Drosophila melanogaster: one gene and its partner. The protein of the gene in region 1 interacts with the protein of each later gene in a pairwise test. Each region holds a gene or a part of one and is shown in the gene's direction. Other genes may lie near its edges. The genes, in order: EDTP and Cyp28d1.

Region 1 (5,058 bases):
TGTACTTTTTGAATCACGAACTGCCGGGCAATGAATTCACTCTGTTTGAGGTTACTTTCCTGTGTTTCTGTCACTTCTGAAGATCGTAACCTTTTTTGAATCTCTGTAGAACGGCTCTCTTCTGCGTCACTGGGACAAAGTGGAACTGAGCAAGCGGGAGTACTGCGTCCAGCATCTTTCATTTAAGGATGATAGTATCCGAATTGCACCCCACTTCTGTCCACTTTCGTCTGAGCACTCCAGAACGTGGAAGACCGTTGGTAAGCTGAATTCCCTGCTTGACTTTAAGGTTTTTAGTTAATGTCCTTTCTCACAGCGATAGTGATATCCTTGATATGCATAATCCTAACGATCAGCGTGTACCTCTATGTCGAGAAGCTTCGCAACCTGCACGGAAAGTGTTTCATCTGCTACTTGGCCTCTTTGTTCTTGGGCTATTTCTTCCTGGTCCTCAACGTGTGGAAATACTCCTCCGGCTTCTGCGTTACAGCAGGTTTGCTTGTGGCGATTACAAGATAAAGGACGACTAATTTCACATTTCGATATCATGATCAGGGTTCCTGGGCTACTTCTCCGTCATGGCCGCGTTCTTTTGGCTTTCTGTGATTGGAATCCACTTGCGGATTAAGTTTAGTCTAGCCTCTAACTGTTTGCACCGATTGCTGCCAGAAAATCCGTTCCGTGCATACAACTTATACGCCTGGGGTATACCGCTAATCATGACTGCAATCACCTATACAGCTGACCAGGTGGTTAAGAACGAGAAGTTGAGACCCCGCGTGGGCGTCGGCAAAAATTGTTGGATCTACAGTAAGTTACTATTCCTATAATTACAATTACGGTGTAACTCGTTTTGTTAACCAACAGCTGGCGATATGACTGTCATGATCTACTTCTATGGCCCGATGCTGTTGCTAATCGCTTTCAACATAATAATGTTTGTCCTTTCGGCGATTTACATATATAACATAAAGAAAAATGTGAAAGGCCTTGTCCACAAGCAACAAACAAACCAACAGATAAATGACCAACAAATGTAATTATATTATATTATAAGATAATAACTATAATGTCAAATGGCACTTTTTGTAATCTTTTATAGGTTTGCTATATTCCTGCGACTTTTCATCTTAATGGGTTTGTCGTGGAGCTTTGAGATATTATCCTTTTTGTTAACCAAACAGCAAGCTTGGGCTAGGGCTTTAATGGTGGCTGACTACTTTAATTGGTCCCAGGGTACCATCATATTCGTGCTTTTTATTTTAAAGCCTAGCATTCTAAAACTTATAATAGCAGGGTAAGTAAAGTATTACAAATAACCTTGAAATTTGACCGTCTCATACGTATGAACAATCTTTTGATTTAGGGGACGTCAAAACCTCCCAGGAAGTCACCATAATTCGAGATCAAAAGCAGCTCGATATAATTCAACTCATACGGCTTGTGAAGGATCAATTGCGGATCCAAACGCTTACTGCTAAAAAAATGGAATTCAATAAGATGCAACGTCTCTGTTATTGATCACATTATTTTAATTTTCTATGGAGCAAAAGTTTAAAAAAAATATTTGTTATCAAGACAATAAATAATGTCTTGGAACATATAAAGCAAAATATATTAAAGGGTACAAAAAACAGGAAAAGTATGGGGCAATACAGCAAAATATTTTTCGGATCATCAACTTTTTTGTAAGACAAAATGTAGAAATATTTCTGGCACCGTTGTTTCAAACCAGGGTTTGAGTCAACAATGCTGGCCCACCACTGGCAAGTACCAAACGATTACAGAAAACTTTTTCTAATCGATTAAGCATCGGGGGTCATCGATGTTTCTCCACCACTACAATTTCATGTTGTTTTTTTAGTCGCGGCTGTTTGACGTTTGTCGCTTTCCTCCGTTGCGAATATAATATATTACGTAGCTCATTTTTATACAAACGGAATTACGAGCGCAACGACGACAGCAACACTAGTAGCACTAATCGTAAGCGCAGGGGCCAAAAATTAAATTGCGTTTGCGGCCGCAAAGATTTGATGACGTCGCATACGCCGTCTTCTAGGGCGTAAAAAGCAAAGCAAAGCAAACAAACGCGAAAGCGAAACGTGTAAACGGCGTAGAAGCGATAAACGCGACTCAAATACGCAGCAGATAAAATACAATACGCGAGAAGAGAAAAGTCACGGGAAATATTGTTCATATTCGGCGTCTTTCTGCGAGCGTAAACGTGTGTGCGTGGGCTTGTGCTTTTGCCAGTGTCGTGTGTGTTAAGTGCCTGTGTGTGTGTGTGATTAAGAAGATATAAAGGAATATAACGGTAAATGCAGCGCCGCAAAAATGTGCAGCCTGACGCCAAACCACATGGTAAACGTAACGCAGCAGCACCTACACGATCTATTGGAAACTTTCGAAAAAAAGTCCTTCGAGGCGGCGGCCTTTGAGGAAGGGACGGCGGTAAGTTAACGGTACCAGTGTGTGCTTGTGTCTGTGACTGTGTGTGTGACATACATTTAGGCGCACGTGCACGTGCTGCCGCCGCAAAAACACGCAGACACACACACACCCATGCATGATATGCCTGTTGTGCTAGTGTGCGTGGCGCTTACACCGAGGACACGTCATAATGTCCTGTCCTCCTATTGCTCTTATTCTCTTCCCTTTCTTGCGCTCCTCTCCCTCGCCGTCTTCCTTCTGCCGCGCCCCGAAAATACTGAGCCACTCAAAATGGCTGCCATTAAGCTTCCTGCGAGGAAAATCGCATTTTCATGGCAATCAATAGGCGGTAAAACATGTCGTTTGAAGGACTTAATGGTTCGTTTTCTCAAAGAGCAGAATTAATCACGGGATAGCTTTTCCAATTTGGTAGTCAATCAAGGTTGTTACCTATAAGAGCACTAATCACTAATTAAAATATCTTTTTTAAATAAGATGAGCAATAAACGGTATTTTTGTATAATTTCTATTAACATACATTTTATGGTCCTAATATTATTTAATTTAATTGATTTTTCTATTCCGTTTCTTAGCAAATTTTTAATTAATTGATAAGAATTAAATATTAAGTTTCAGCTTTCAGAGTTCCTTATCGAGTTGCATTCATTTTGATTATTAAATCAATTTCAACTAGGAAATCCCGAGTAAGCAGGTTTTCCGAAACCGGAAACTTCCTAATGGCTTTTGTTCTCGAATTGCCATTGAAACTCAATATCCCACTAAGCTGTGCTAAGCGATAATTAAAAGCCTAACAACGGCCTTTTTAGGCCCGCCCCTGACCCACGCATAAATGTGCATTTTCTTTCCACGACACGCACTCGAATTCAACTTTTGTCTTTTGCCTTCAGCTCATCCCCTTGCACCCGTTCATCCATTTTACCCCCCTCGAATGTCACGCACGCCTTTTAAATAGTCCAGTGTGTAATGCCATCTTATCGCCCGCTTAACCGGCAATAACACAGAATAACAATTGTAATGGCAACTTGGCAACAGCCGCTGCTCATTTGCATGCCAGTGCTGGTGAATATATTTAAGCCAAATCCCCGAGCCAGGCTGCCTGGAAACAGAGCGAGGAAAGCCAAGTGGGAACTTGGCACGTAACTCACGTTTCCGCGACGATCTTACATCGGTTTGTTCAGCTGCAATCGGCACATAAATATGTACATACATACATACATATGTGCATACTTACTTGTGAATGTTTAACCGCTACCGCAAACTTTGTTGCAAACGTATGTTTTTATCAAACAATGGCTAGGTCTTATCACCAACCAGGGCGCCAACCTTCGATTTGATTTTCCACAAGTATTTTCCTATTCCTTATCTATCTGCCAGCTATTCGAAGGCACAAACAAAACGCTGCTACTGCCCCTTGATACAAAGCATTGCATTTTTGATGGGGTGCAAAGGGTGAATTATGTGTGCGCTTCTCTCTCACTTGTTTATTTCCCAGTCTCCTCGGGGTTCAGGGTTAAGTTTAGCCACACCGATTAGATTAGGCGTTCGCCCAGCCAAAGTCACAATACCTAAGCAAATGACGTAGGCAGGCGATGAGGTTTATAGCTTACAGAGAACGTATGTAAGAACCATTAAATGGGTTAAATATACGAGCTAATAAGGTCAAAATGGCATTTAAATTGCAGCTAAAGATAATATTGCTACCTGAAATATATTTGGAAATCTTTAAATTGAAATTGAAGAGCTTTCCAAATTCATAAGTTTTACTCCTCGTCTTATCGCAGCAACCAAAAACAAGCAATCCTCTTAAAAGGACTCAGAAAAAAATCGAGTGAATAATAAGATTGAGTTTGCTCCAATTTACATCAAGACATGGAAATATTTAATATTCAACATCCATCAAAAAAAATTACACTTATTTATGTTGGTTCACCACAAAAAAAAATACATTTATATATGTAGATTTGCTAAAAAAAAAAAATCAACGTACATTTAAAAAGTTTCGCAGTAGACGCCGACCGACAATCGTTGGACAATTATTGTATGCTTATGGACTTAGAAACCCTGGAAACTCCGGCGGAACTCTTCCTCGAAATCCGCGTGGCCAAGATCAAGCTTGTGGTAGTCGGTGAATCCCTCGCGATCCAGCTTGGCCTGGGCCCAAAGGATTAGCTTGATGAGGAACATCATTCTTGGCTCCATGGGCTCCTCTTTGCTCTTACTCTCATCCTCGTGGCAGCGTAACATGGCTGCATTCATTTCACCGGCCACCTTTTGGCGATATGAGTAGTACATCAGCTCCCCGTAGGGACTGTATTCCGGCCGATCGAAGGCCAGCAGACCCATGGTCCGCTCCACTTCGTGGTAGTGACTTGGATCGACCTTGGAAAAGCCCGCTGCCTTGCTCTGGGCAAACTTCAAGGCCTTCTCCATCTTCTGATCCCTGATCATCTCGATCAGGCGCAACTGTTGCATGTGAAAAAATACATAGTTGTCGGTCTCGAAGAGCCGTGGATAGATCCGTGTGGCCAGGTCCATGGCGTACTTGACCTGACCCACACGCACGGCATCCTGAATCCTTAAACGATCCCCGATGGTGTCCATGTGTGG
Region 2 (4,574 bases), on another chromosome or scaffold:
GATCTGACCTTTGATCAAATGTCCGAGCTTCCGCATCTGGACGCCTGCATATATGGTGGGAAATTCTATCTTGATCTCTTGATATTCAGTTTCTTTAACTACATTATAAAATTTTATAATTTTAGAAACTTTGCGTTTGTTTTCACCGCAAGTTGCAGCACGTAAGCTGGTCACCGAACCCTTTGAGTTTGCGAACAAGAACGGACGCACTGTGCACTTGAAACCCGGAGATGTGGTTACTATACCGGTAAAAGCTCTGCACCACGATCCGCAGTATTATGAGGATCCTTTGACATTCAAGCCGGAACGTTTCCTTGAGAGCAATGGAGGTGGTATGAAAAGTTACAGAGACAGGGGTGTTTACCTAGCTTTTGGCGATGGACCTCGTCACTGTCCAGGTTGGTGTTATAAAAATTTATCTGAAAATCACATACTACAATAAGTCGATCTCTACATTTAGGAATGCGATTTGCGCTGACTCAACTTAAAGCAGCTCTGGTGGAAATCTTGAGGAACTTTGAAATCAAGGTTAATCCTAAAACCCGCTCGGACAATCAGATAGATGATACTTTCTTCATGGCCACCTTGAAGGGTGGTATTTACCTGGACTTTAAGGACCTTTAAATAATAGCAATAATCATAGTAAGCTTTAAGCTTAAAAAACTGGATAAAGAGAAGTTGTTTGCTCGAAATAACAAAAATTAAAATTAACCTTGATTAATGCATGATAATAAAAAAAAAATAAAATGCAGTAGAGATTTATTACTCAAGAAAGGCAAATGTTGCGGATGATCCACAACAAGGCTCGATCGAACATGGTTCGACAGTGATGTTGCATGCGCAACAAGTTCGATTGCTAGTGCGCAACATGTCGGTTGTAGGTTGGCCATCCGATTTTAAATACTTGCAAGATATAAGATTTAATTGAGATTTTATAATAAAAAGTAATAAGAATTATAGAATTATAGATCAAGGGGTGTATAAAGAATATAAAGAAATCGATTCACCATCATAGGCATCTCAAGGCTCAAGCTCAAGGGCAGTTTTGGTGGAGATCGTAAGAAATTTCGAAATCAATGTAAACGTCAAGACGCGATCGGATAATCGACTGAATGACATCTGCTTGACGTATTTTGAAGAGCGATAGTAAAATGGCTGAAGTGTTGTTGTAAGTGTTGATAAGATAATGCGCCAATTAAAAATGAAATCAGAAATTTGATTAACTACTTAGGTGCTACACACATTGTTTGTCCAGAGTATCTATACCCATTACTCGTTAAATGAAAATGGGTATGTTGTATTCCTAGAAAAGTATGCAACTGATAGATGGACCTTCTGAATACGACACATTGTTTTTTGTTTTCATCAAGCATCGCACTTTGCAATCCTACTTATTTATTTAAAAGTCGATACATTGCTATTTTTCCTTTAATTGTTTATGGTTTATGTATATGTCGTTTAATTTCACAACCGTTTATTCCATTTCTCTATGCTACTAAAACCGTTCCCTTAAAACACATCTTTATCTGCGTGCTTTAGATACATATGCCATGTACAATAATTGTAAGTTTGAGCACTTAGTGAAATGACAAGCTGAAAAGTTCTGTTTCATCGTCATATCATAAAATGGCTTTTCTTAACAGTTTTTGTACTACTACTTTGTGGCGCATGACCTAGGACTAGGTATATTGTAGCCCCTTGATCTTGATAACGAAATCAGGCATTATCTTCAAATGGTGCAATTTTATATACGACAAATATTAACAGCGGTGGTGAATGCAATTTGATCAATTTGTTTACTGGGTGAATCCATCCACTTGACTGGCGCGCAAGTTCAATTTAAATGACTGCGGCAGCTCAATTGAGTTCCAGTTGGTTTTCATCCGCGTTGGCGAGAGGTTGTGCCATGTGTCCGATTTCCACGGCTCTTTTTGTAATTGCGGCCATCCTGGCCTTGATCTATGTCTTTCTAACATGGAACTTTAGCTACTGGAAGAAGAGGGGCATTCCAACGGCCAAGTCATGGCCCTTTGTGGGCAGTTTTCCCAGCGTTTTCACCCAGAAACGGAACGTAGTCTACGACATCGATGAGATCTATGAGTAAGTGTATAGAGTTAGCTACGTTATCTGGTTACTGATTGCATCATCTCATTAGGCAGTACAAGAACACCGACAGCATTGTGGGAGTGTTTCAAACCAGAATTCCACAACTAATGGTCACAACTCCGGAATATGCGCACAAGATATATGTTAGTGACTTCCGCAGCTTCCACGACAATGAGATGGCTAAGTTTGTGAGTAGATTGCAAATACATACTGGTCTTAGGAGCCCATTTCATAAGTTAATTCACACAATAGACCGACAGCAAAACGGATCCCATTTTGGCGAATAATCCGTTCGTATTGACTGGTGAGGCCTGGAAAGAAAGACGCGCCGAAGTTACACCCGGACTTTCGGCAAATCGGGTAAGCTTAGGTTGCCCTCGAATTGTTTATTCAAAACTTATCTCGTGCTAATGTTTATTTTCACTGGGGGCCCTGATACCCTTATCAATTGAAGTGCTCCAATCAATTAACGCTCTGCCTCCCCAAAAGGTCAAAGCTGCCTATCCCGTCTCGCTGCGCGTTTGTAAAAAGTTTGTGGAATATATAAGGCGACAGAGCCTGATGGCCCCCGCCCAAGGACTAAATGCGAAGGATCTCTGCTTGTGCTACACCACCGAAGTGATTTCCGATTGTGTCCTGGGCATTTCCGCCCAGAGTTTCACGGATAATCCCACACCCATGGTGGGAATGACCAAGCGCGTCTTCGAACAGTCTTTTGGCTTCATTTTCTACACGGTGGTCGCCAATCTATGGCCACCAATCACGAAATTCTACTCCGTTTCGCTGTTCGCCAAGGACGTGGCTGCGTTCTTCTATGACCTCATGCAGAAGTGCATCCAAGTTCGGCGGGAAAGTCCGGCGGCACAGCAGCGAGATGACTTCCTCAACTACATGTTGCAGTTGCAGGAGAAAAAGGGACTGAATGCGGCGGAGCTGACCTCGCACACAATGACATTTTTAACGGACGGATTCGAGACCACCGCACAAGTGCTTACCCACACACTCCTTTTCCTGGCACGCAATCCCAAGGAGCAGATGAAGTTGAGGGAGGAGATCGGTACCGCCGAGCTGACCTTTGAACAGATAAGTGAGCTGCCCTTCACCGAAGCCTGCATCCATGGTGAGTTTTTTGGCGAAATCTGAAGTTATTTAGTATGCGTATAATATCTATATCTGCAGAAACTTTGAGAATTTTCTCACCTGTTCTGGCTGCCCGCAAGGTGGTAACTGAGCCCTGTGAACTGACGAACAAAAACGGAGTGAGCGTGAAACTGAGACCCGGGGATGTAGTCATCATTCCTGTGAACGCCTTGCACCACGATCCCCAATACTATGAGGAACCTCAATCGTTCAAGCCCGAGCGATTCCTGAACATCAATGGCGGAGCCAAAAAGTACAGAGATCAGGGTCTATTCTTTGGGTTTGGCGATGGACCACGTATTTGCCCCGGTGGGTAACATCATTTTTGAAACAATTAAAGTTACTAAAAAAAATCTATGCATAATTTGTAGGTATGCGGTTTTCACTTACCCAAATCAAAGCTGCCCTGGTGGAAATCGTGCGAAACTTCGACATCAAGGTTAATCCCAAAACTCGCAAGGATAATGAAATTGATGATACCTACTTTATGCCAGCCTTAAAAGGCGGCGTTTGGCTGGATTTTGTTGAACGCAATTAGTTATTCAATAATGTTACGACTTTATATTAAATATAGTTTATCCAGTTGCATACATGTTATATTTCCAAACACTCTTAATACTTTAATTTTGTAACTTAAAACCACACTTTTAGTCTCGACTTAGGGCTAGTTGCACTAGGGGCAGCACCTTGATAGAGGACAAGTCTGCCAGAATCGCTTCGATGCTATCCAACGAGGCCACCTGCATGATGCTCTCCTTTCGAAAGCTAAGAATGATGATGGCGAATAGAGGAAGGATCTCCAAGCTATCAAAGCCAAGGATCTGAAAAGGAAGGGATAAGTACTGCCAATAAGAACGGAGGTGTATTTCGTACCAGATCCCAGAGGACCAGCAATTGATCGGGAGGCAAATGTCCGGAAAACGCTCGCATAAGCCATTTGAAGACCACCCGCAGGCTAAGGAAAGATATGTCGTGAAATGGGTGAAATAGCTGTCTAACGAAAAACCCAATCCCAACTCACGGCTGTATCTGAAGCTCTCGGAAATGGGACCATAACTGCGGTTCGTATGTCTGCAGCAGCTTCTCGAAGAGCAGGCACAGACTGACAATCCCTTGAGGATGCGTGTTTATGGTGGTCAAGCGATGGCAGTACCGGATATAGAAGGCCCGGAATGTATAGTATAGACTCACCGGCGAGTCATACAGATAACAAAAGGGGGCGGCAAACATGCAGATGCCGTGGAAGGGCACCACACCCGATGGAGGACCTTCGTAGGTCTTGCCCTTCACCGGAAACGTCTCGTATTCCACACATCCACCGATATCGG

Evidence for each region.
Region 2: the proteins of EDTP (region 1) and Cyp28d1 interact in a two-hybrid assay, tested with the Drosophila melanogaster proteins (one large-scale study listed by BioGRID).

Annotation. Positions count from the first base shown.
Region 1 is NT_033778.4:17,441,729-17,446,786, reverse strand, and holds the start of EDTP (Egg-derived tyrosine phosphatase), read left to right. Parts: upstream 1-1,848; 5' UTR 1,849-2,334; coding exon 2,335-2,451; intron 2,452-4,303; exon of another isoform or gene 4,304-4,503; coding exon of another isoform or gene 4,504-5,058. Other genes in the region: mthl4 (methuselah-like 4), read left to right, coding at 1-50, 110-260, 317-493, 556-810, 868-1,036, 1,103-1,297, 1,367-1,481; CG18467 (uncharacterized protein), read right to left, coding at 4,504-5,058.
Region 2 is NT_033779.5:5,208,596-5,213,169, forward strand, and holds Cyp28d1 (cytochrome P450 28d1), read left to right. Parts: upstream 1-1,864; 5' UTR 1,865-1,906; coding exon 1,907-2,100; intron 2,101-2,155; coding exon 2,156-2,294; intron 2,295-2,358; coding exon 2,359-2,466; intron 2,467-2,595; coding exon 2,596-3,226; intron 3,227-3,285; coding exon 3,286-3,555; intron 3,556-3,617; coding exon 3,618-3,784; 3' UTR 3,785-3,850; downstream 3,851-4,574. Other genes in the region: Cyp28d2 (cytochrome P450 28d2), read left to right, coding at 1-55, 126-398, 461-624; CG7742 (uncharacterized protein), read right to left, coding at 3,894-4,067, 4,120-4,201, 4,268-4,574. UniProt on the Drosophila melanogaster protein: May be involved in the metabolism of insect hormones and in the breakdown of synthetic insecticides.